Linked DNA regions of Pelodiscus sinensis. The protein of the gene in region 1 binds, or shares a complex with, the protein of each later gene. Links are inferred from orthologs where the notes say so. Each region holds a gene or a part of one and is shown on either strand. Other genes may lie near its edges.

Evidence for each region.
Region 2: CTNND1 (region 1) and CTNNA1 share a complex: the UniProt entries of both Homo sapiens proteins name them as parts of the cadherin:catenin adhesion complex. The link is inferred for Pelodiscus sinensis from reciprocal best matches to the Homo sapiens genes CTNND1 and CTNNA1.
Region 3: CTNND1 (region 1) and CDH26 share a complex: the UniProt entries of both Homo sapiens proteins name them as parts of the cadherin:catenin adhesion complex. The link is inferred for Pelodiscus sinensis from reciprocal best matches to the Homo sapiens genes CTNND1 and CDH26.

What each region holds. Positions count from the first base shown.
Region 1 is NC_134714.1:128,674,748-128,681,886, forward strand, and holds the start of CTNND1 (catenin delta-1), read left to right. Parts: upstream 1-4,078; 5' UTR 4,079-4,224; intron 4,225-4,553; 5' UTR 4,554-4,612; intron 4,613-7,139. UniProt on the Homo sapiens protein: Key regulator of cell-cell adhesion that associates with and regulates the cell adhesion properties of both C-, E- and N-cadherins, being critical for their surface stability.
Region 2 is NC_134727.1:3,751,222-3,758,634, reverse strand, and holds the start of CTNNA1 (catenin alpha-1), read left to right. Parts: upstream 1-4,364; 5' UTR 4,365-4,523; intron 4,524-4,744; exon of another isoform or gene 4,745-4,766; intron 4,767-4,888; exon of another isoform or gene 4,889-5,158; intron 5,159-7,413. UniProt on the Homo sapiens protein: Associates with the cytoplasmic domain of a variety of cadherins. The association of catenins to cadherins produces a complex which is linked to the actin filament network, and which seems to be of primary importance for cadherins cell-adhesion properties.
Region 3 is NC_134728.1:11,396,921-11,404,684, forward strand, and holds the start of CDH26 (cadherin-like protein 26), read right to left. Parts: upstream 3,078-7,764; 5' UTR 3,024-3,077; coding exon 2,991-3,023; intron 1-2,990. UniProt on the Homo sapiens protein: Cadherins are calcium-dependent cell adhesion proteins. They preferentially interact with themselves in a homophilic manner in connecting cells; cadherins may thus contribute to the sorting of heterogeneous cell types.

The DNA.
Region 1 (7,139 bases):
GAGGTGCAAGGTCTCTCTGCCCTTGAGTAGGACCCATAATTCAGGTTGGAGGGGGAGAATAATTTATTATCTCTTTCTCCCCGCATAAGAAATTGGAAGTGAAGTGAAGGAGCCTCCTGCCAAGGAAGATGGACAGGGTGGATAGCACTGCATAGGAGAGCTGAACTAGAGCAGTCCCTGAAGTGCTGTTTCCTGCATGCTCCTGCTGCAGTCCCTCTTGTTGGCCCTTTGATTCAGTGCTGGAAGAAAAGGAGGAGGACAAGGATGTTCTTAACTCTCCTCTTTAGTGGGATGGGGAGGAATTCACAGGCTTGAAGGCACAGATCCTCATGAAAGTTAGGTGCCTAAATACCTTTGGGTATGTCTACACTGCACTTGTGCTCATAATAAGCTATGCAATTTGAGTTCCACAAATTGCGTAGCTTTTTTCGAGTGTATTTTGAAATAGCTTATTTTGTAATTTGACACTGTCTTCACGTCAAATTTAGAAATAAACCGCTATTCCAAAATGTCTCTTAATCCTCATGGAACGAGGTTTACAGGGATGTCAGAATAGTGAGCTATTTGAAAATATTATTTCAAAAGCAATTTTGAAATAATGGGCGTGCTGTCAAGACGCAAAATAGCTATTTCAGGATACTGGAAGTATCCTGAAATAGTGCCACAGTGTAGACGTGCCCATTGTGAATCTGCAGCAGATCAAACCTCACAGTAGGGAGGTTTTTCCAGATAATTGTCCTAACTGCTTCCTTTTTAAAATATCATCCCATTCCTCTTTGCTGTCTCCCTTGTGTACCAGCCTCTTTCTCTCCCTCACTGGGGATTACTCTCTTCAAATATTTGCAGGCTGTTATTGTTATCATGTACTCCTTGCTTGACCAAGCTATACACATATTTACCTCTTTTAATCTTTCCCCATAAATCAATCTGCTGTTCATTCCTCATCTCCCTCTGTCTTGTCAATAACTTTCTGGTGACATGGTACTCAGAACTGAACACGTTCACCTGAGTAGGGGCGGGGGGCAGCAAAGAGGGTTTATGTCATCTTTATGGTTTCTAGATTCTGAGGCCAGCTGGGAGTAGGGGTAGGGTGTGAATTGAGCCATGTAGACTCTACATCACTTGGGTTTCCCCCTGGACTTGGGAAATTCCTAGGCAGCTATTTAATCCAGCATTACAGCCCCTTTGTGCTGTGGATCCAAGAATTAGTTCCAATATTCCAGATGTGGTTCCACTCAGACCCACAGTTAAAGCTGTCACCTTCCCGTTTTGTGTGGTGAAGTGCTCAGCCTCCAATCACTCCAGTTTCTTTTGCTTCCAGCTCCTGTCTACTTTAAGCAGTAGCTGCCAGTCCTAAGTCTCTGAAAGCAGTAATGCTTCCTTGGTTTCTCCCCCACACAAAGTGTTAGACTTTGGAAACAGGTGTCTTCAGCTGGACTAGCTGTAGTTTTCAAAGCTAACGTGTTGTTATTTCCTACCCCATCTCTTGACTCTCTAGATCCCTTTGAATTATTTCTCTACACTCAATGCTGTGTACTTAAAAAACAACGAAATATCCTGCAGTAACCCTTAGGATGCATCTAGATTGGCATGATTTTGCGCAAAAGCAAATGCTTTTGCACAAAATCTTGCCACCTGTCTACATTGGCCACGAGTATTTGCGCAAGAACACTGACTTTGTAATGTACAAAATCAACAGTTCTTGCGCAAATACTCCGACACTCCTGCTCAGAGATAAGCCCTCTTGCGCAAGTATTCTTGCGCAAGAGGGCCAGTGTAGACAGCCACGTTAATTTCTTGTGCAAGAAAGCCCGATTGCTGAAATGGCCATTGGAGCTTTCTTGCGCAAGAGAGCATCTACACTGGCACGAATGCTTTTGCACAAAAGCAAATCTTTTGCGCAAAGGCACATGCCAGTATAGACGCTCTCTTGCACAAATACTTTTAACGGAAAATTTTTTCCGTTAAAAGTATTTGCGCAAAATCATGCCAGTCTAGACGCAGCCTTAGAGACTAACAAAAAATGTAGATAGTCTCTAAAGCGCTGCAGGACCATTCGTTGTTTTTAAAGTTTTTTCAGTTAGGGTGCACCTACACAGCACTGTAACTCGAAATAAGATACGCAATTTCGGCTATGCAAATTGCGTATCTCATTTTGATGCTATTTCAAAATAGCTTATTTCGTCATTTGGTGCCAAATTTCAAATTAAAGTGCTATTCCGAAATGTCCTTTATGCCTCATAGAATGAGGTTTACAGTAACGTCGAAATAGCGAGCCCGCATAGGCTTGCTGAGAAGACGCGAGATAGCTATTTCAGGATACTTCAGTATCCCGAAATAGCATTGCAGTGTAGACGTAGCCTTACAGACTAACATGGCTACCCCTCTGAGATTTTTAAAAGCTGTGTACAACACTCTCCCTTAAGTGCCTAGTCCTACTCCGCTTGAAGTCAATGGAAATAATACCAGACCCCTTTGCATCATCTGTTGATTTAAGTGGCATATTGTCTACTTCGCTATTGTGCTTGGTACTGGCAACCTCTCTTGGTCCTGTTGGATTCTGGGAGGAAGGATCTGCTGAGCTCTCAGTACAAGGCAGGGCGAATGTTCTAATGTAGGCCAAGTTCATCACTGATTTCACCACTGTGTCTTTTAGACCCGCTCTAAGCACAGAACAGGGGAGAAAAAGTAGCAGATGGCCAGTCTACACTGATGTGCCTATGTTTCATAAGCGATATATGATGCAGCAGGCTGACAGAGCTGTAGTGAAGAGATCTTTGTTGAACATAGACAGAGGCCAACAACGAGTGTTAAAGGGCTTGTGTTTGGTAGCAGCTCGGTCTAGTATTGCACCTGCTGTCACACCAAACTAATAGTTACTCCTGAAACCTGACCCTCTTTCTCCCCTTCCATTCCTTGTACTGCACCCTGAAGCTGTGTCTAGATTACATCCCTTTTCTCGAAAAAGGGATGTAAGTTAGACACTTCGAAATTGCAAATGAAGCCAGGATTTAAATTTCCCACGCTTCATTTGCATAATGGCGGCCACATTTTTTTTTTTAAATGGGCTTTTTGAAAGAAAAACAAGTGTTTAAACAGGGATCTTTTGAAAATAAAACCCTTTTTCAAAAGATCCTGTACTCTTCAAAAAACTTTATAGAAATATCTAGGTAATGCCCCCCTGCCAGCAAATCCCCCGCTTAATCTGGTGCACCACATTGCACTATGTACCTTCCAGTTTGACACTTATTTGCAAATATAATCAGAATAAACAACTTTTAGGGCTATGATGAAAGAAAACTTGTTAGAACTTTTGTCTCTGTCTCTCTCTTAATTGATGGTCTGGAATCTATAAACTGTGAATTGGATTAAATTAGTAATGCAAAGTAAAATAGCTATTTTCTTCACTGATATGAAAGGAAAAGGAGTGAAGTAAATTCCTTATCCACTCTAGATTTTTAAATTCAGTTTCTTAATTGCCACCAGCAAAAGCCAAACAAGAGCTGATCACACAATCTAGGCTCACACAATCTAGGCTCACATAATTAAAACAAAAACAATAGACTCAAGGTTGAATTTTAAATCCTCAGTTCTCCCCAGATCCAAACACCTTCCCACCCATCTTTTTGTACCATTGTTTTCCCTCCTTTTCAGGTGATACTTACAAAGATGAAAATATATTTACACATAAATAGCACAGGCGATATATAAAAATGAAGTTATTTATTCTCATTTGCAAACAGGCAGAGGAGATGAGTGGGAGAAAGAAACACAAACGATAAAAAGAGACTGGACTGTGTATTGCAGATCATATCAACACATTTATCATCATGCCAAGCCTGTTTTAACCTCCTTCCTTGCAACTGATTTTTGTAATATATTTTTATTTTCTTTCCTCCCCCACCCCCAAAAGTTATTTTCTGCCCTCCTCCTTTTGTTGGTTTTGCTCCCTTTTTCTTTTCTTTTTTCTATTCCCTACAATAAAGTTTCCTATTGGATAATGCCGGGTCCCTTATTGATGCCTGCTTCCCATTGGAGCTTCGTAGACGCTGACATCACTTAGGGAAAGAGGGGTTGGGCGTTGGGCTTGGAAAGCTCAGTTTGTTACCATCACCCCCGTCAGCTTGTCTTTGGCTGGGTCGGGTGCAACTTCCATTTTAGGTGTTGGATCTGAAAGAGGAGGCGAGGGGGGAAAAGCCAGGAAGGATCCCAGAAGAGAAAGAGGTGGAGAAAAAATCACTACATTTATTGGTTTTCTTTTTTTAAAACACATTTTGGCCGGGTTTTGCTTCTTGCGTTTCCTTTAGAGATTTGTTGGAGAAGTCCACCATAGAGTTTTGTGTGTTTGCAAAGCGACCCCCCCTCCCCAAAAAAAAGCTCTCGCCCAAGGGGAATTTTTGTTGGAGACTGGCATATTGTCACCCTGAGAGATTAGAAGGGAAGTTATAAGGCAGAGGAACAGCCGCACTGACAACTTTTAAAATTTATTTTGCTTTTATTTCTTCCCCCCCTGGTACTCAAAAAAAAAAAAAAAAAAAAAAAAACCTCACAAGGTGGAGAAACAAACTCCTGGATTTCGCCAGCGCAGCCCCTGAGAAGGGAGAAAGCCAGGGTAAGAATCATGTTGGTTTTTTTTGTTGCTTTAAAAAAAAAATCTCATCTCTTGTTTTAACGCCTGTTGTTCACTTTGGATTTTTGCTCCTTTTGTACTGCAAGCTAACAACTCTGCCTGGGTTGAATTGCTGGGGAGCTGTTGTTTTTTGTGGTGTCTTCTGAGCAGGCTGGGGGAGGAATGTGATCCAGTTTGCGAAGTGGGCTCTTGGTTTTATTTGCACCCTTTAATATGTTTTCTTTAAAACTTTGGGAAAACTGAGCTGCAGTAGGAAGGTTGTGGAGTTGATCAAGTGTTTTTTATTAAGTGGTGTTCTTGTTGGGAGTGTTGCGGTCCATTCTTTCCATGTCTAAAATCCACACTTTCTGCTTGGGTGGATCCCATTTTTTCCCCCAGGTGCAGTTGGGTGCGGGCCTTTCTCCTCTTAGCCTTCTAAAGAGAATCCATGTTGAGTTATAACCTCTTAATCTTTAGGTGGAGTTAAAAAAGGCTTGAGCGGGGGGAGAGGGGGAAAGGATATTTTTCACGGGTTCTAAATTATAATCAACAACTTGAAATGGGTGTGGAATGACTGCCACACTTAGCAGAGGCTAAGACTTGCAATCAAAACCTGGTCAGCACTCTCCACCTAAGCCGTGGCTTATTTTAACACGTAATGGGGAAGAAGGCAAACTTTAAGAGAGGCTTTAAGCAAACTTATTTTGAAGCAGTTACTTTAGGAACTCAGTCTAACAGATTGTATTTTTTTTTAAATAATTGTTTCTCTGTAACTTTCCTTGAGCTCTTGCGTTCAGTCTCTTGGAAGTGTGTGGAGGTTTGAGGCTTTTAGATACTGCTAAAAATGTACTTCTGTAGCCAGCTCATTGGGAACTAGGACATGCAGCTAGTTTCTAGTCCTGAGTTGTCATCTGTAGAATTAATGCCTCCATTCAAATACAAAAAGCCTGGAATTAGTGTAGTATTTAATTGCAACAAACTGGGGCAGAGAAACAGTCTGTGCTGCTGTTTACAATTATTATAGGAAGTCTGCACTGTCTACTAAATATGTTAAAAACATACTTTCTCTTCTCTTTCTCTCACTTTGCTGTGAAGACCTTCTGATGTCTTATGTTAGACTTAAGATTATTGTGGCCAGAGATCTGGGGAAACTTTTGTGGTGAGAGAAACAGTAAGCAGTCTAGTTTCTGGAAATGTACAGATCCATATTCTATATCTAAGTACCTGTATGGTGTTCCCTCCCCCCCCAGCCTCCACCTGAGGTTTGGTCTTGGATGCAGTAGAGAAAGAAAAGAGGGTGTTCTATTTTGAATGGTTAGAGGATGGTTTGGAAAGGGTCTGTGGGTTTCAGTGATGGCTGGTGTTCTATTTAGTACCCCACATATTATTCTTCCCCCCACTCCTTCCATATCTGGATATAAAGGGTTTGTGAAAGAGGGTAGCTGGTTTGAACCATTTGTATGATTGGCTTTAGTAGCCTTTCACAGCCAGGGAGCCCAGAGGAAGTGCTCTGACAGCTGGGGAAAGAACACAAAAACACTTCTACAAGTAGATTAGGAATGACTTGTCTCTGGGTGGCCTTGAGTGGTGCTATTACTGTGAAAGAAGTACTTCCCACACCCAAAGCTAATTGCAAAACCCTTTTCCTATGATCAGTCTTGTGCTGCTGATACACGTACTGAGGTCTAAGTCCTGAAGTCTAAGTCCTGAAGTATACCTTTGAAGTATCTGGGCTTTGAGTGAACCGTGTAACCTTGACCCCTCAGCCTCTTTCCACACCCCAACAAAACAAGTGACCTTTCTGTGCCAATCTTCTAGTTGGCACATGGAGCAGGATAGAGAATGTCTCTCTCTTTAGACAGGTATTTAATATTGGAGTAAGGGGTGGCCGGTGTTGCAACTAGTATCCTGCTCTCTTTTCCTGCATCATAATTTCATTTGTGTTTAGAGTAAGGGAAGTTGCTTATATATGTTTTGGAAGCAGAGAGTATTTTGGGCGTGCAGGCCTTTCCTTGGGAGGAGGGATAATTCTGGCCCCAGGGTTATGTGCTGTAAATCTTTTCAGTGATGCTTTTCTAAGATTTTCTCCTGTGGAGTGTGCGTGTGCGCGCGCACAGACTAGATCTACCTTGGGCAGATGAAATCTTAAAACTGTTATCTAATTTTCCTCCTCCTTTGTTCTTGCAGGGAAGGAACTGTGACTCTAGGGAGGGTCAAAACTGCTGGGTGGAGTCCATCAATACCCCTGCCCCCAGCCCAGGCCCCCCTCTCCCTCCCCCAAAGAGTCCTGGTAATGTAGCAGCCTTTTCTTTAAGAAACGAATCCCCTTTTCTCTCTGGCTCAGTAAGTGACATTGAAATGTCTCCAGTTAAGGAAAATCCCCCAGCAGTCTGCTCTCAGGGGTGCTGGGTGCAGCAGGATATTTTTTTTCCTGTGTTCATTGGCAGCACTCTTTGTCAGTTAGCAATGCATCTATTCACTCCCCTCTCTGCCCCCATATTATTTATCTTACAAAGCCCTCCCTTACAGA
Region 2 (7,413 bases), on another chromosome or scaffold:
AAAATCCATTTTGGTCTAGAAAAGTTTTACTTATTGCTATCGCACCTACAATGTCTGCACCTGAAAGAGGCTGGAGAATGAAAGGCTTTTTTTGTTTTTGACTTCATTTTGTATTGCCCATTTTACTTCTATTATGTAATAGTGTCTTTCATATAGCAAAGAGAAGAGAAAAGAAAAAAAAATGTGATTACAAAACCACAAGTCTTAGCATTGAGAACTCTGCAGCAAATGTACCATTTAAGACAACTTTTAGCTAGTTTTTTTTTTTTTTAACTTGACTAGTTTCAAGCATTGCTTCACTCTTAATGATGACTTCTCTTTTAGGAGTTCTTGCTGTTGATATGGGCATTTTGTTTGATCAACACCTTCTGTTTTATTCAGAGTGATAGAGATCCCTGTTGTTATAATCTAGGGAGAACTGTTAATCAGGACAGAAACTCCAGTCTCCTCCCCGAGGTGACTTCATTTTTATATCTTTAGCTTTGACAGCTGTATATTTAAACTTGTGATACGTACACGAACCAACAGAATTGCCACTTAATCTTCTATCCTTAGTTGTCTAAAAGGGATTATTGCCTGCAATGTTGTGCTGATTTCTAGCCACCATTTTGTCCCCAAAGCATGTGGGAAGTGCTGAATGCAGAAGCCACCGCAGGAAGCCAAGACATAATATTAAAAGAATTAATGAAAGAGAGCAAGCCATTGAAGTATAGACTGAATTTTATTGAGAATATGCTACAGATCAAAAATAATTGATTGGATTCCCTGCTGCCAATGACACTGAAAATATTAATGGTTTAGTGCAAGCTGAATACCCCAAGCCCTTAAAAATCTGTTGTTAAAGAGCCTATTTATTTAAAGGACTGTCAATGAACAGTTCGTGCTATCTTAATAAATCGTCTCTCAGCCAAGGTTACAGTCCTGAACTCAGGACCTGCAGTGGAAAAACTCAAATTGACAGGATGGTTTCCTTGCTGCATGCAGTCTATTTTCATTAAGGACTTTGGGATGATGGGTACGATTCTCCTTTCTCTGTCCTGGGGCTAACTGCTCCCTGCTCTTGGTTAAACCTATGGGAAGGGATTAAATATGAAATCTCTGCCTGGTGCATTATCTCTTCCACGGACTTGTTAATATCAGGGGGGCCATGATCTAAGGGGATTTCAACCTTCATCCTTGCAAAGCATGGATAGGTGCCTGCTCTGAAATCCTTCCTGTTCCCACAGCATGGCTCCTGCGGACATCAGGATGAGAAATGCTGTGTGTCCCCCTGCAAAAATCACACAGGGCACAGCTATATTCTCCTTGACAAGACTCGCTGTGGTTTTTGATTGACATCGGCCAGAAAACAGAAATAGCGCGTGGATTCAGATGACTCAGTAACTGACATGTTTGAGATATGAAACATTACTTTAATTCAGTCACTATTGCAATGCAATCATTTTCTATAGAAACATTCATATAAAAAGCCATCTCAAAATGTGTTATGAAAAGCAATAAAAACCCAACTGAATATGACACAGAAAGGGTCAATTTCTCACACTGCTGCTTTGTGAGAGACTTTGAAAAAAACCTCCTCATACACAAACTTGCCAACCCTACCTCAGTTAGTTTAAACTTTGTCAGTTCTTAAAAGTCTGTTCTCTTCTGATGAAGGTTCTTGCTCTGATTCAACGAAACATTTAAAATAATATGCATCATTTCCTCAAATCTTCCTTGTTTGCTTTATCACAGCTTTGACAGCCCTTTTATGACACAGCTTTAAAGTATTTGCCTTATTTAAGATATTTGCATGAAAACAGCAACTTTAAAAAAAAGCAACACCATCTAAAATATTAATATATAACATTTAGATTTTATAAAGGAAAAAAAATGAAACCTGTGTGGAATAGAAGAGTTTGCAACATTTGTTTTTTAATTTTAGAGAGTGAGTGTGTGTGTGTACATACACCCACCACCTGCTACCCTCCACTTTTGTTCTAGAGACTATAAAAAGTAAAGACACATCAAACTTTTATTATGAAACTTGAAACACACAAATCATGTCTGCTGTCAAGCTTTGACAACTTCAGAACTCTGCCCATGTTTATCAAACAATGTTAAGGTTCAAAAAACATGGAACTGGAGAATTGCCCAGATCCAAAAGTTCCAATGTGGATTTTGAATACCAATGTGATCTTAGAACATCAATGTGACCCCAGGTTGGTCTGAACCATTCTAAAGCCATTATATGTATGTAAAGTTCACCTAAACCTCTCCTGGTTTTGGTTCCTGTGGTTTTACATTCTCTCCCCCTTGGGTTTTAAAAGAACTAGCCTTACTGCACCTGCTTTGGTCTCAGCACTGAGCAAAAGGGTACATTTTCCAAGCATTAGATGTGAAATTGGCAGGGTCAACAGCCTCGCCAGGACCTGGGCAAGGCAGGTGTGGAGCCTCAAGTAGAAGGGAGCCCTCAGTACTGCCCAGAAAGCACTGTGCCTCCCTCCCAGCCATAGTGCCGGACAGAGCGCACTGCGTCTCATTCTGGCAGCGATTTAAAGGACTTGGGGCTCTCACTGCCTCCGCTGCTGCAGTACCCGCAGCAAGATCTTTGGGCCTTTTTGCATCACTAGGTCCTGCCCAGGGCATTTCCCTCTTTGCCCCTGTGAAATCTTAAAGCAACCCAAGTTTTCTGGAAACTTCACTCAGAAGTAGCGTTGGGCCTGAACCCAAAACCGCATGAACTGAGATCACAGGTGAGTGTTGCACCCTTTTGCCTAATGCTCTTATGAAAGCAAGTACAGTAAGACAGATTTTGACTGAGGCTAGCTTTATTTATATGTGAAACTCTAGGAAGTGTGGTGTGAAACCACAGCACCCAAAACAGGAACAGCGGTTTAGGTGAAACAGATGATACTATCACACACGCCTTTGATAGGAAAGTGAAATGGAGCCCTAAGTTTTCTTCACCCACTGAAGTTAAAGAGTGAAAGAGAGTATGACCTGTTTGTTCAATAGTCCAATGTAGTTAGGTTTGAGTAATCTCCAGTGATTCTGGTTCAGAGGAGATATGGAGTGCAAGTGTTATGGATAGGTTTATCTATCTAAGCACTGCTCATCATTATAGTAGTGGGGTGGTAGATTTTGGACCCCCCCCTTACGGAATTAGGTCCAGATTTGAATTTCTCCTCTGGTGCCTGACATTGGACTAGGTCAAATGCCAGATCTAAACCCCTTCACCAGACGAGAGGCTGAAATCTGAACCCAGATTTGATCCAAACTTCATAACTGGGCATCAGTCTGTGAAATGCTGACCCAAATCCCAGAGCCAATGCCTAGCCCAGTGGTTCTCAGACTGTGGGTTGGGACCCCAAAATGGGCTGCAACTCCATTTTAATGGGGTCACCAAGATTGATGTTAGATTTGCTGTGGCCCAGGGATAAAGGAGAAGACTGAAGGCTTTAGCCCTGGATGGCAAGGCTCAGGTTACAGCCCCCCTGCGAGCGGCTGAAGCTCTTGGGCTTCACCTCTCCCCACCCCGCACTGGAGCAGCAGGACTTTGGCTTTGGTTTCTCCTTTCCCCGCCCCGTTCAGGAAAGCTCAGGCTTTGGTTCACCATCGTGGGAACATGTCATCATTTTTGTTGTCAGAAAGAGTTTACTGTGTAATGCACAATGAGAGCCCCTGGCCTAACCTCACTGCCTTGGGACTTGAAATCTAGACCTGAACATTGACTCTTGGAGCTGTCCTGTCTCATTCTGCCTCCTCTAGCCACACCCTCTGCAGCCACCAGGATGCACCTTATTCCCATAGGGAAGACCCTATTAATAGCTTGAACTTCCTGTGCCATGGAGCCAGGTCCACTGCCCCCCATCTCACCCCACTCACTGCCCCCCCAGCCATCTGCCCCCATCTCACCCCACTCCCTGCCCCCCCAGTTCTCTGCCCCATCATCCCTGTCTGCCCCCAGCCATCTGCCCCCCCATCTCACCCCACTCACTGCCCCCCAGCCATCTGCCCCCATCATCCCTCTCTGCCCCCCAGCCCTCTGCCCCATCTCACTCCACTCCCTGCCCCCCAGCCATCTGCCCCATCTCACTCCACTCCCTGCCCCCCAGCCCTCTGCCCCATCATCCCTCTCTGCCCCCATCTCACCCCACTCCCTGCCCCCTCGCCCTCTGCCCCCTTATTTCCATCCCTACCACTCCACGCCCCTGCCCCCCAGGCCGCCCCAGCGCCAGCCGCGCAGGCACCTTCCTCTCACCTGAAACTCTGACTCACCCCCTGCGCGCTGTTCCCACCCCGGCCGCTCCGCCCGCCGCGCGTGGGACGAGCTCCCAGCCTCTCACCTGCGCGGGGCGGGCGGTCCCGGGAAGAGCCGGGCGAGCTGCCGGGGGAGGTGCCCGGAAGAGCCGGCCGGGCCGTAAGGGGAGGTGCCCGGAAGGGCCCATTTCCTCCTCTCCGGCCGGGACGGGCGCGGCGCAGAGACAAAGCGGCTGAGGCGGCTCCGACCCCGGCTCCAGCGGCGCCTCCGGGACCCGCAGGTAACTTCCCGGCCGAGTGGGGAACTCCCCCCCCGCCCCCCGCCAGCGGGGCCCCTGGAGCCGCCCGGGTCTGGCGCGAAGCGGCCCGCTCCTCACAGCGGGGGGGGGAGCCGCCGCCTCAGCCCCCGCCCCGGCTTTGTTCGGCCTGGGGGGAGGGGCCCCGCAGTGAGCCCCCCCCCGCGGGAGGGCCCCAAGGGCGTTTCCCGCCCGGCCCCTCAGCGATTGTTGCTCGAGCCGCTGCAGGTAACAGGAGCCGCGGAAAAGTTTCCAGACGCGGGCGGGCGCCGTGTCCCCCTCGCGGGCCCCGCCTCATGGGGGGGGCTCCGCATCCGTGCACAGCGCGGCTGAATGTGGGACCTGCGGCCCGCCCGTAGCCCCCCGCTCCGAGGGGCACGCGGTGGCGTCCTCCCCGCCGTCTGCGGGGGGGCTCTGCCCAGCGGCGTCGGTGGGGCGCGGAAGGTGCGTGGCTGGACTGGGCAACGGGAGGCCTGTAGCCGGCCAGACCAGCACAGCGCTTCCCTTAGCGCAGTCGCTTAATTGTCACGTAGGCCTCATGCCAAAACCGACACATTGCTCTTGTCTTGTGACACTGAAGTGGCTTTTCTGGACTCTGCAGTGAAGAACGAGAGCAAGTGGTACGTACCCAGGGCCTGAAAACTCACTCTGCTTTGCAAAGGAGTGTTGCTGTGTCGCTGGATGGGTTTTCACTTTAAGTATGTCTAGCTTGTGTAGTCTACCTTTGCCTTGCAAAAGCAGAAAAATACACGAGAACCCCAGTAATATACATATTATAGTAAAGTTTCAGAACCAGTTCTGGGTGGAGGTAGAGTGTTACACGAGAACCCCAGTAATATACATATTATAGTAGAGTTTCAGAACCAGTTCTGGGTGGAGGTAGAGTGTTACACGAGAACCCCAGTAATATACATACTATAGTAAAGTTTCAGAACCAGTTCTGGGTGGAGGTAGAGTGTAAGGAACCTACAACAAAATGTATTTCTCTTCCTAAGTGACTTATGCAATATCTGTACAGTTGCTTGGTGATTCCCTCTGGACACTTCTGTTTCAGGTCAGTAGTGCTGGTCATTTACTTCTATGAACTACTGGTCACATGCTGTCAGGATCCTCCTATATCACTTGACTACTGCACTAATCTTGTCTGGCCTTGATGCTTGCAAACTGTCTGCATTTAATGCAGGAGCAAAGATAAGGAGCTAGGCTTGATTGTCATTTCTTCCCCACCCCATTCCATTCTTAAGTCCCTTCATTGGCTTCTCCTTCTCCAAACTCATCATAGACAAACGTACATTGACAATCCTTCTAATTTGTTCCCTATCTTTACTTAACTAATGCTAGGCTTAATTGAATTCTTGTGGTACTATCTCCTCCTTGTGCATGAGGAGTAGCAAACCTTCCTGTCCAAACTTGTAAAGTCACTATATTTTCCTCTGTCATTCCTCAAAACATACCTGTGCAGATACTGAAAACCACAGCCTGAAAATTTCTAGGTGGGCAGTGATATGTAATTACAAACCTTGCCTTGCCTAAGAACTGTGCATTTATTGTCTATTTCCCAAGACTCTTCCTCTCCGCCTGTCCTCTACCACTGTGCTTGAACATTTCTCTTACCTGTTTTATTTTGCCTCTTGGATTGTAAGCTTTTGGGGTCAGAGACTGTTTCCTCTGTCTGTACAATGACTAGTACAATAGGCCTGCAATTTGATTGATCTCTAAGTATTAGTATATTGTAAATACATAATGAGCTAGCTACCTCTTTGAACAAAGCCTGATGTTTAAAAAAAAGCCTATTTTGAAAATGCTTTATATATGTGGCTTAAGAATGACTGTGCCCATTTTGCTTTAAAATATAAACAAACCCCCCAAGTTTCCAAAACAGAGTTTTTCTGCACCCCCCCCAAAAGTTTGTAGTTAAAAAGGTCAGTTTTGAACATCTCAGCTTTTCCATGAAAATGGCTTTATTTTTCTACCAATTCTAATAGGAATCTGAAGCAGAGTAAATGTTTATCTAAGGTGGACAGAGTTAGAATTAGAACTCTTATCTTCACACTAACTAAAATAGTCAACAAAATATTTTTATGTTTAATATAAAACTTTTAAGCTTCTTGAGGTCTTAAAAAGTAAACCAATTAATTAGTAGCTTCACATTTGGTTTCTTCCTGTGAAGTTTGAGATGTTGTTTGCCATGCAGTTTCTTCATGCAGAGGAGTTCCATGGTAATTGCTCTGAATGAAGTAATAACAAGTAATTGGAGGATAAGAGATTTAAACAAATCTTCTGCATAGATCAACTACTTGAGTGCCTCCTTGCAACTAATTGAGAAATAGCTTTTACAAGAGAATCAACAATGGCAGTATTTAAACTGGAAATATATTTAAGTGGAATTTTAACATGAATTGAAATTAGATCCTGTTGTCAGACAGTGGAGGTGGGTGGCTTCATAAATTCCTTTCTCCTGCAAAGAATTAATTGGAAATGTTACTTGTCATCTGTAATGAAACTGAGCAATCCATAGATATTAAGATAAGCCTCGGGTGAGGACAGAGCATTTTATGGTCCCCTGTGCAAATGCTTGTTAAATCATCAATAGAGTAGTGTTGGATACTCAATTGAGATTCCTACATCTTCTGAATTAACTAGACATCAAATAGAATATGGCAGGCTGACTTTTACTGTGTTGCTAACGTGAAACTGGAATGTTTGTGTCCTTTTCTCTTGTAATACAATGCCTTTCTTGGAAATCCCCAAATGCTTATTCCACTGAACTTGAAAAGTTATTTGCTTAAGGCAGGGGTGCCCAAACTTTTTTTCAAAGAGGGCCAGATTTGATGAAGTGAACAAGCGTGAGGGCCGACCATTTTGCCTGACATTC
Region 3 (7,764 bases), on another chromosome or scaffold:
CTAATTCAAATGCTAGAAGATCGACCTTTGGAGGGTCAATCTTCTCCGTAATATACATAACCCCAGGGGGCTAAGGACTTTTTCAGCCTTGCCGATAAAGAGGTAACAAGAACCAATGTCTGGAAATTGATATCAGACAAATTTAATCTTGAAATATGGCAATTTCTAACAGTGAAGCTAATTAAGGGTTGGAACGAATGGCTTACCAGGAGAAATAGTGAATCCAAACTCTTAAAATCTTTAAAATGCAATTTTCTTTCTTAAAGACATGCTCTAATCCAGTTTCTGGGGTAAATTCTACAGGCTATGTGATCATCACAGTAGTGCCTTCTGGCCTTAGTCTATGAAATATGCACATATAATCATGGTAATTGTGCGTGTTTTTTTAGGAGTACGAGCATAGCAGACTTACCCTGCATTGCCCGGATCCTTCAAAGCAGAAGGGTGGTGGTGTGGGGGAGGGAGTGCAGGACTGAGGGAAGGGCTTTCAGGATATAGAGCGGATGGAGGAGCCTGGGACAGGCGGGTATAAGAGTGAGGTCTGGAGGGTAAGGAGGGGCTCAGGAGAGGGGGGCTTTTTTCTCCCCCAGCTGTCCCCCCACTGCCAGGGGCCTTTTTTCTCCACCTCTGGCACTGTGCTAAAGGGGGGAAAGGTTTGGGGTCAGGGGAGCTACTTTGTGTGCTAGCAGGCAAGATAGGAGAGCCCCAATCCTGCTGGTCACTTTCCTGGTGGTATAGTTGCTGCCAGTGAACACTCTGCACTGCAGCATAGCTCTTCCCTGCAGTCTCTCTGCCCCCAATGGAAACTGATATCCCTCCAAACAGCAGCCCATCCCTTTGCATTTTATGGAAAACTGTCCTTCTGCCAGGACTTCCAGTTGTCCTGGAACAACCAAACCCTGACCTTGCTTTTAAGTTAGGAGAAGAGGAAATTGTAGTTAAGAGAAGAGGAAACTTTATACAGGCAGTCCCCGACTTACGCGGATCGGACTTACGTCGGATCCGCACTTACGAACGGGGCTTTCTCGCCCCGGAGGTCGAGGTAGCAGATTGCTACCTGTGAGCTCCGGGGCGAGAAAGCCCCGTTCGTAAGCTGCTCCGGTGCCCCTGGTCTGCTGGAGACCGTCTCCAGCAGACCAGAGGCACCGGGCGGGTTCCCGCGCTTCTGAGGCTTTGCCAGAGCAGAGCCTCAGAAGCGCGGGGAACCGCCGCTGCTGCCGCTTGAGTCCCGGTGCCTGTGGTCTGCTGGGGACCGTCCCCAGCAGACCACAGGCACCGGGACTCAAGCCGCAGCCGCGGGGGGGTCCCGCACCTCTGAGACTTTGCCAGAGCAAAGCCTCAGAGGCGCGGCACCCCGCTGCCGCTGCGGCTCTGCTCCCCGTGTCCCTGGTCTGCTGGGGGGGGCACGGCTAGTGTGCCCCCCCCCAGCAGACCAGGCTTTTGTTTTGGACCCTGGAGCAGAGCAGCTGGGGCGCTGCGGATTGGTCCTGCAGCGCCCGCTCTGGGCACTACTGGACCAACCCGGCAGCACCCCAGCTGCTCTGCCCCAGGTCCTGATTCAGCCGCTGCTGGTCAGTTTCAGCAGTGGCTGAATCAGGACGCCTGGGGCAGAGCAGCTGGGGTGCTGCTGGGTTGGTCCAGTAGCGCCGAGGAGCGGTGCTACTGGAGCAACCCAGCAGCACCCCAGCTGCTCTGCCCCAGGCGTCCCCAAGTCAGCCACTGCTGAAACTGACCAGCGCTGACTACAGGAAGCCGGAGGAAGAGTTGCTCTGCCCCAGGCTTCCTGGAATCAGCACTGATCAGTTTCAGCAGCAGCTGACTTGGGGAAGCTTGGGGTTCTTAAGTTGAATCTGTATGTAAGTCAGAACTGGCGGTCAGTTTCAGCAGCGGCTGAATCTGGACGCCAGTTCCGACTTACATACAGATTCAACTTAAGAACAAACCTACAGTCCCTATCTTGTACGTAACCCGGGGACTGCCTGTAGCCATAAAAGAGCACATCTATGTAAACAAGGTCTTTTCACTTTATACTGGTTTTGTATTAATTCTAGTAGTTCATAAATGAACAGGTGTGAAATATACATGTTTTTATTAAATAATCAATTGACTTTGCAATTCTGTGGGTTCTCTGGTATGCTCTTGTGTTTAAATAAGGTTCTGCAGAACCTTTCACACATGTTTAACTTCATGTGTGTCACTAGTTCCACTGCACTTAATGGGACTAGTATTATGCTTAAAAAAGCTAAGAAAAGCAGGTGTGTAAGTCTTTCTAGAACTGGGGACTGAGAATGGTATCCGGTCTTTTTAAGTGTCATTTCCATAGTTTTACCTTGTGGGAGTATCCCCATCTTGTTTGGTTACATTTTGCATGCAAGAACCTATTTGTGGGCTTGGAAGGATTAGATTTTTTTGGCAAATGTTGATGTCACAGAACATACACAAACTGACACATTTCCTTCCATGATGGTTGATATTTACAGATAGGCAAAGTAAGAAAAATTCGGTTGGAGAACATTCTAGGATTGAATTGAAAGATATAGTTTTTACTTGGCATGTGTTGATATATTCTGTTGACCACCTGCGTTGTAATGGTTATAAAACCATAACTTTTTGACTCTTAACTGTTGTCATTAAATAACTAGTGTCTGGTCGCTCCCTAACTTCTCACAACAAAGAAAACTGAAACTGATTAAAAACCCAAACGCTTAAAAATATGAAATGGTTGTAAAAACTCAAATGTTGCCAAGCCCCCCTCTTTGAGATCGGTGCCTCAGCGAAGCCGGTGGGTTGACCGGAGAACAGTTTCAAGAGCAAAGATGGGTATTTCCAAAGGGTTTTCCCCTAACACCGGCTCATCATCTCCCCCGCTCCCGCATCCCTTGCCTGTGCAAAGCTCCAGCCTCCTCCAGTGCGCGGTTCCCGACCTCCCCCTGCCCAACCTCCACGAGGCGCCCTGTCCCCCTCGCAAGCGCGGCGACCCCCACACCTACCGCCAGGAGCAGCAGCGCAGCGAGGCACCCCATGGCCAGCGGGGCAGGCGGTCCCGGGAACTCCCGCTGATGTGATCCGCGGCGGCGCTGCCTCCCAGCTTATAAAGCCGGCTGGGGGAGCAGCCGGGGCGGCCACGTGCCGCCCCCTCCCTTCCACTGCAGGGCCCGGGCGGGCGATGCAGAGGCTCCCCAGGCCGGCTGGGGGGAGCTGTCCGCCGCCTTGCAAGTCGCTACTGGAGCTGCAGGCAGACCCGCCCCCCTAGGGGTGGGGGGCACCTTGCGAGTCCGGTCCGCGCAGACGGTGTAGGAGCGTGTGGGTGGCGGGCGCGCGATTTGGGGGCACCCTCCTCCCTCACCCCCTTTCCCTGGAGGCTGCAGGGCTGCGTTGTAGGGCGCCCCGCGGCGTGAGCCTGTCCCCTCACTTCTCACCAAAGCGTGTGGCTTGGGGGGGGGGGCTCAGACTGAGGAGGGGGGGGAGAGCTCTGCCCCCAAAGCAAACTGTGGCCATGCCCGTGGCAACCCGAGGCTCGGCTCAAGGGAGGTGGTACCGTTCAATATAGGACCATGCGCTGTCCGCTCTGCTGGGCTCCACCTGGGTTATGCTTTAGGAGAACCACATGCTGACTTCCTGGGCTGGGCGGGAGGGGATGGATAAATAGTGGTATCTCTTCAGCACTACCCACCTGTTGTAGTAAAATGAGACCCCCTGGGTGAGGGAATTAGAGGTGCTACTTCATCTGGTTTGAAGTGGTTCCCATCAGATACAGGACTTAGAGTTTGGTTCAATGGTTCTCAGCACCCCGCTACACAAATTGTTCCAGCCTTGTGCATGTCTCTGATATCATCTTTCTTACTGCTGCAATAAAATAATTAACAATGTTGACACTGAAATCATCACTAGGCCTCTGAGTAACAACTTCCCTGGAAGAATGGGGCAGTTTGCCCCACCCCGTGGTTCCAGGCTCCTACAAACTCAACTAGCTGGTCTCCACATTTTCAGTTAAGGTCACATTTCTGCGGTTTTCTTCACAACCATGACAACTGGAGATTTCTTTTCAGAAGTACAAAATCTGAGAAGCTGGAGAACAACACAATATCTACAGAAAAGTGGAGTGCAGTGCCCAGGCTGCTACCGGCTAGTTTCAAGGGCACTCAGTGCCTTGCAGGAAAGAGAGGTTGCCCATAGGGTGTGTCTAGACTACAGGGATTTTTCGAAAAAAGTAGCCTTTTTTCAAAAAATATTTACCTGTGTCTAGACTGCTGCCGCGTTCTGTCGACAGTAAATCGAAAAAACTCGGCAGTTTTGTTGATGGCAGTAAACCTCATTTTATGAGAAATAATGCTATTTTCAACAGAGATCTGTCAAAAAAAGGTATGTGTGGATGTGGAAAAGGTTTTTTTCTTTTTTTTTTTAAATGCTTCCAGGAAGAAGCCCTGGTGGACACCCCTGCCAGACCTTTCACCGCCATTGTTCCTGCCTGTAGCATCTTTTAAAGGCACAGGCGCCCAGGAGTAGCATTGTGGCAGCAAGCCAGCTCCAACCAGGATCCTGACTTCTCGGCTCTTGCTGGAAGGCACACTCAGAGCCATGTCCCAGGGACAAGTTCCCCAAAGCCCTCCTGACCCTTCCAGGGACACATCCCCGCACCAAGCCAAGGGCACCAAATGCCAGGCACCCTCCTAGTCTGCGCCTGAGATCAAAGCCCTCTTGGAGTTCTGGTTGGAAGAGCAGGGAAGTCCTTAGCCATAGGCAGAGTAGGCAGTTGCCTAGGACACCAGTATTTCTGGGGCATCACTCTGTAGGGATGGACTGGAAGCAGTGGAGCATTTATAAGCAGGGGCTAAACTACTGCTTGCTATCAGACAGCTAAAAGGAGACAGCTGCCCTGTGGGTGAGTGTGCTCACTCCAATTGTTTAGCTCTGCAAGATAATTAACTGTTAACTGTTGACTTGATATGTAAATACAGCTCATGCCAGGAGGGGGAGGGAATACAAGGTGTGGCTATGTAAATCCAATTCAGCCAGGCCTGATGGACGATCAGTGTTGGAATGGAATGTGGTGTATTGTAACTAATTTGGGGATGTTGTGGGGGTCACAAATCATGCCAGCCATAAATGTGGAAACTGTAAAATATGACACCAGTGTTTGCAGGAGAGACACCCTCATTGTAAGAGGTCTCAGAGGAACAAGCCTCCCCTCTGCCATAGTTGAGTGAACTGAGTTGGGCTGGTGGGTGTAAGTAAGTGAGGAGTCTTTTTGCTAGTCTAGTAGAAGCTAGAATCATTGCAAGAGGAGTAACGGTAGTTTGAATTAGGAGTTTTAATTCAAACTACCTAGTCTGTGCTGCATGTAGCTGCGGGTAGGTACTTTGAACTAGGGGGCATTTAAAAATGGTGGCACCAGGGAACATGCAAATAAAGCCCAGGATATTTAAATTCCGGGCTTCATTTGCAAGTTCGAATGCCTACATTAGCCACCCTAGTTCGAACTAGGGTAGCAGTATAGACATACCCTAAGGGAAGCATTTTACATTGTTAACAAAAAGTTTATTTTTCTTTACAAAACAGTGATATAGGTTTTGTAACATACAACAGTGCAATAAACTGTAAGCATTTTGTCAAGCACACCTATCTCTGTTCTCTGTGTGAATGTGTACAACGGGGGGCAGAGATAGGTTTTGGGGGGAAGGCACTGGGGGCATGGGGCACACCCACATTTGGAAGGCCCTTGGGAAACTCATCGGGCTCCTTGGGAGAATCTCTCCGTCAGGGCTTCCCAAATACACAATCCCAATTGGTGGGCTTGGAGGATGGCAGCTGTCCAGGGCTGCTCAAACAGCCTCCCCTCCACATCAGCCCATGTCCCCCACACAGGGAGGAAGGCCTCCCCTTTCCTCTCCCCCAGGTTGTGCAGCACACAACAGGCAGCAATCACTTTGGGGATGTTGCGTTCACCCATGTCCAGCCGAGTGAGCAGGCATCTAAACCTGCCCTTCAGATGGCCAAAGGCGCACTTTACCTGGAAGCGAGTCTGATTCAGGTGGGCGTTAAACAGTTCCCTGCTCGAATCCAGGTGCCCAGTGAACAGCTTCGTGAGCCAGGGCATAAGGGGGTACTCCACATCGGCCACGATGGACATAGGCATCTGCACATTCCCGACTGCAAAGTTTTGCTCTGGAAAGAATGTCCCAGCCTGCGGTACAGGTATGAGTTCTGGAAGATGCAGGCATTGTGTGCCTGGCCTGACCACCTGACACAAACATCTGTGAATTGTCCCCGGTGACCAACCAGGGCCTGCAGCACCATGGAAAAGTAGCCGTTTCTGTTAATATACTGCGCTGCACAATGGGGAAGTGCGCGGATCAGGATGTGAGTCCCATTGAGTGCTCCACCGCAGTTCAGAAATCCTAGCCCTGCAAATCCAGCCACAATGGTATCCAGGTCTCCAAGGCGGACAGTCCTTGACGCAGCTCCGAATTGATGGCCGTCACCACCTGCAGAAAGGGACAAATAGAAACACATATAAGAGGAAATTAGAGGAGTTGCCTGAGCTGATGAGAGGTGCTCCCTCACCCCTCCCCGATCCCAAGAGCACCCCCTCAGGCAACCCTCCTTCCCCACCCCCCCCCCCACCACAGCAGTGAGAGGCCAGGAGGGCTTCTACCATTCCCACCCCATTCCCTCTGCCCGGTCCTGACTGTCCCCCTTATCCACCTCCCCCACTATGGACTGTCCCTAGAGAGTGACTTACCTCCATCAAGACGGCCCCAACAGTAGACCTCCCCACACCAAACTGGTGTTCCGAGCGGTAGCTGTCGGGGGTGGCCAGCTTCCATAGAGCAATAGCGACACACTTCTCCAGGGGGATGGCAGGTCGCAAGTGGGTGTCCTGACATTGTAGGGCAGGGGTGAGCCAGGCACACAGCTCCTGGAACATGCACTTCCGCATATGGCAGTTTCAGAGCCAAGCCTTGTCGTCCCCCTGCTCCCTAACAAGATGGTCCCACCAGTCTGAACTGGTGTCCAGCCTTCAAACTCCCCTCTCCAGGAATAAGTTAGGTGGTAAGGACAGTGGGGCTGCAGTTTGAGTGAAGGGCTCAAAGCTGGGCTCTGAATCCAGCTGTGCCATGAACATGATGATGGTCTCATGAAGATGCAGCAGAACTTCCAGCATCACAGTGTGGGGCCATCGCCTGCCCAGGGGCAGCTCCAGCTCCATGGCAAAAAAATGATTGAAAGCACAAAAACCAACCAGGAAACCAAATGCTATGGTGTCCCACAAAGCAGGGCACTCCAAGCAAGCACTGCAGAAGCTTTGCTGTCCCTCTAGGAGGTAGGCAAGCCAGCTGCAGGAGCAGAGGAATGGCTGTTCAGGAGGATCCCTTAAAGCACGCGTCTCTGCAAAGAGCATGCTGCAGGACCCGGAAATAAAGGCTACCCTCATGTCCTGGCAGAAATGCTTCCAGGTGCCCTTTTTTCGACAGAGCGTACAGGCAGTCTGGACGCTCTCTCTCGAAAAAGCGGATCGATTTTTCAATCTGCTTAGTGCAGTCTAAACGCTCTTTTTTGAAAGAAGCTTTTTCAAAAGATACTTTCTAAAAAGCCTCTGTCGAAAGAGGCTTGTAGTCTAGATGTACCCATAGTGTCTAAGGCATTGTCTGCATATAGGTGTAAAAGACTCTCTTTGAAAATTATGCACGTTTGAAGAGACTATTGTGAAAGCTAATAAATTATTTTTGTAGATGACATAAGGGGTCAGGACTTATATGAACA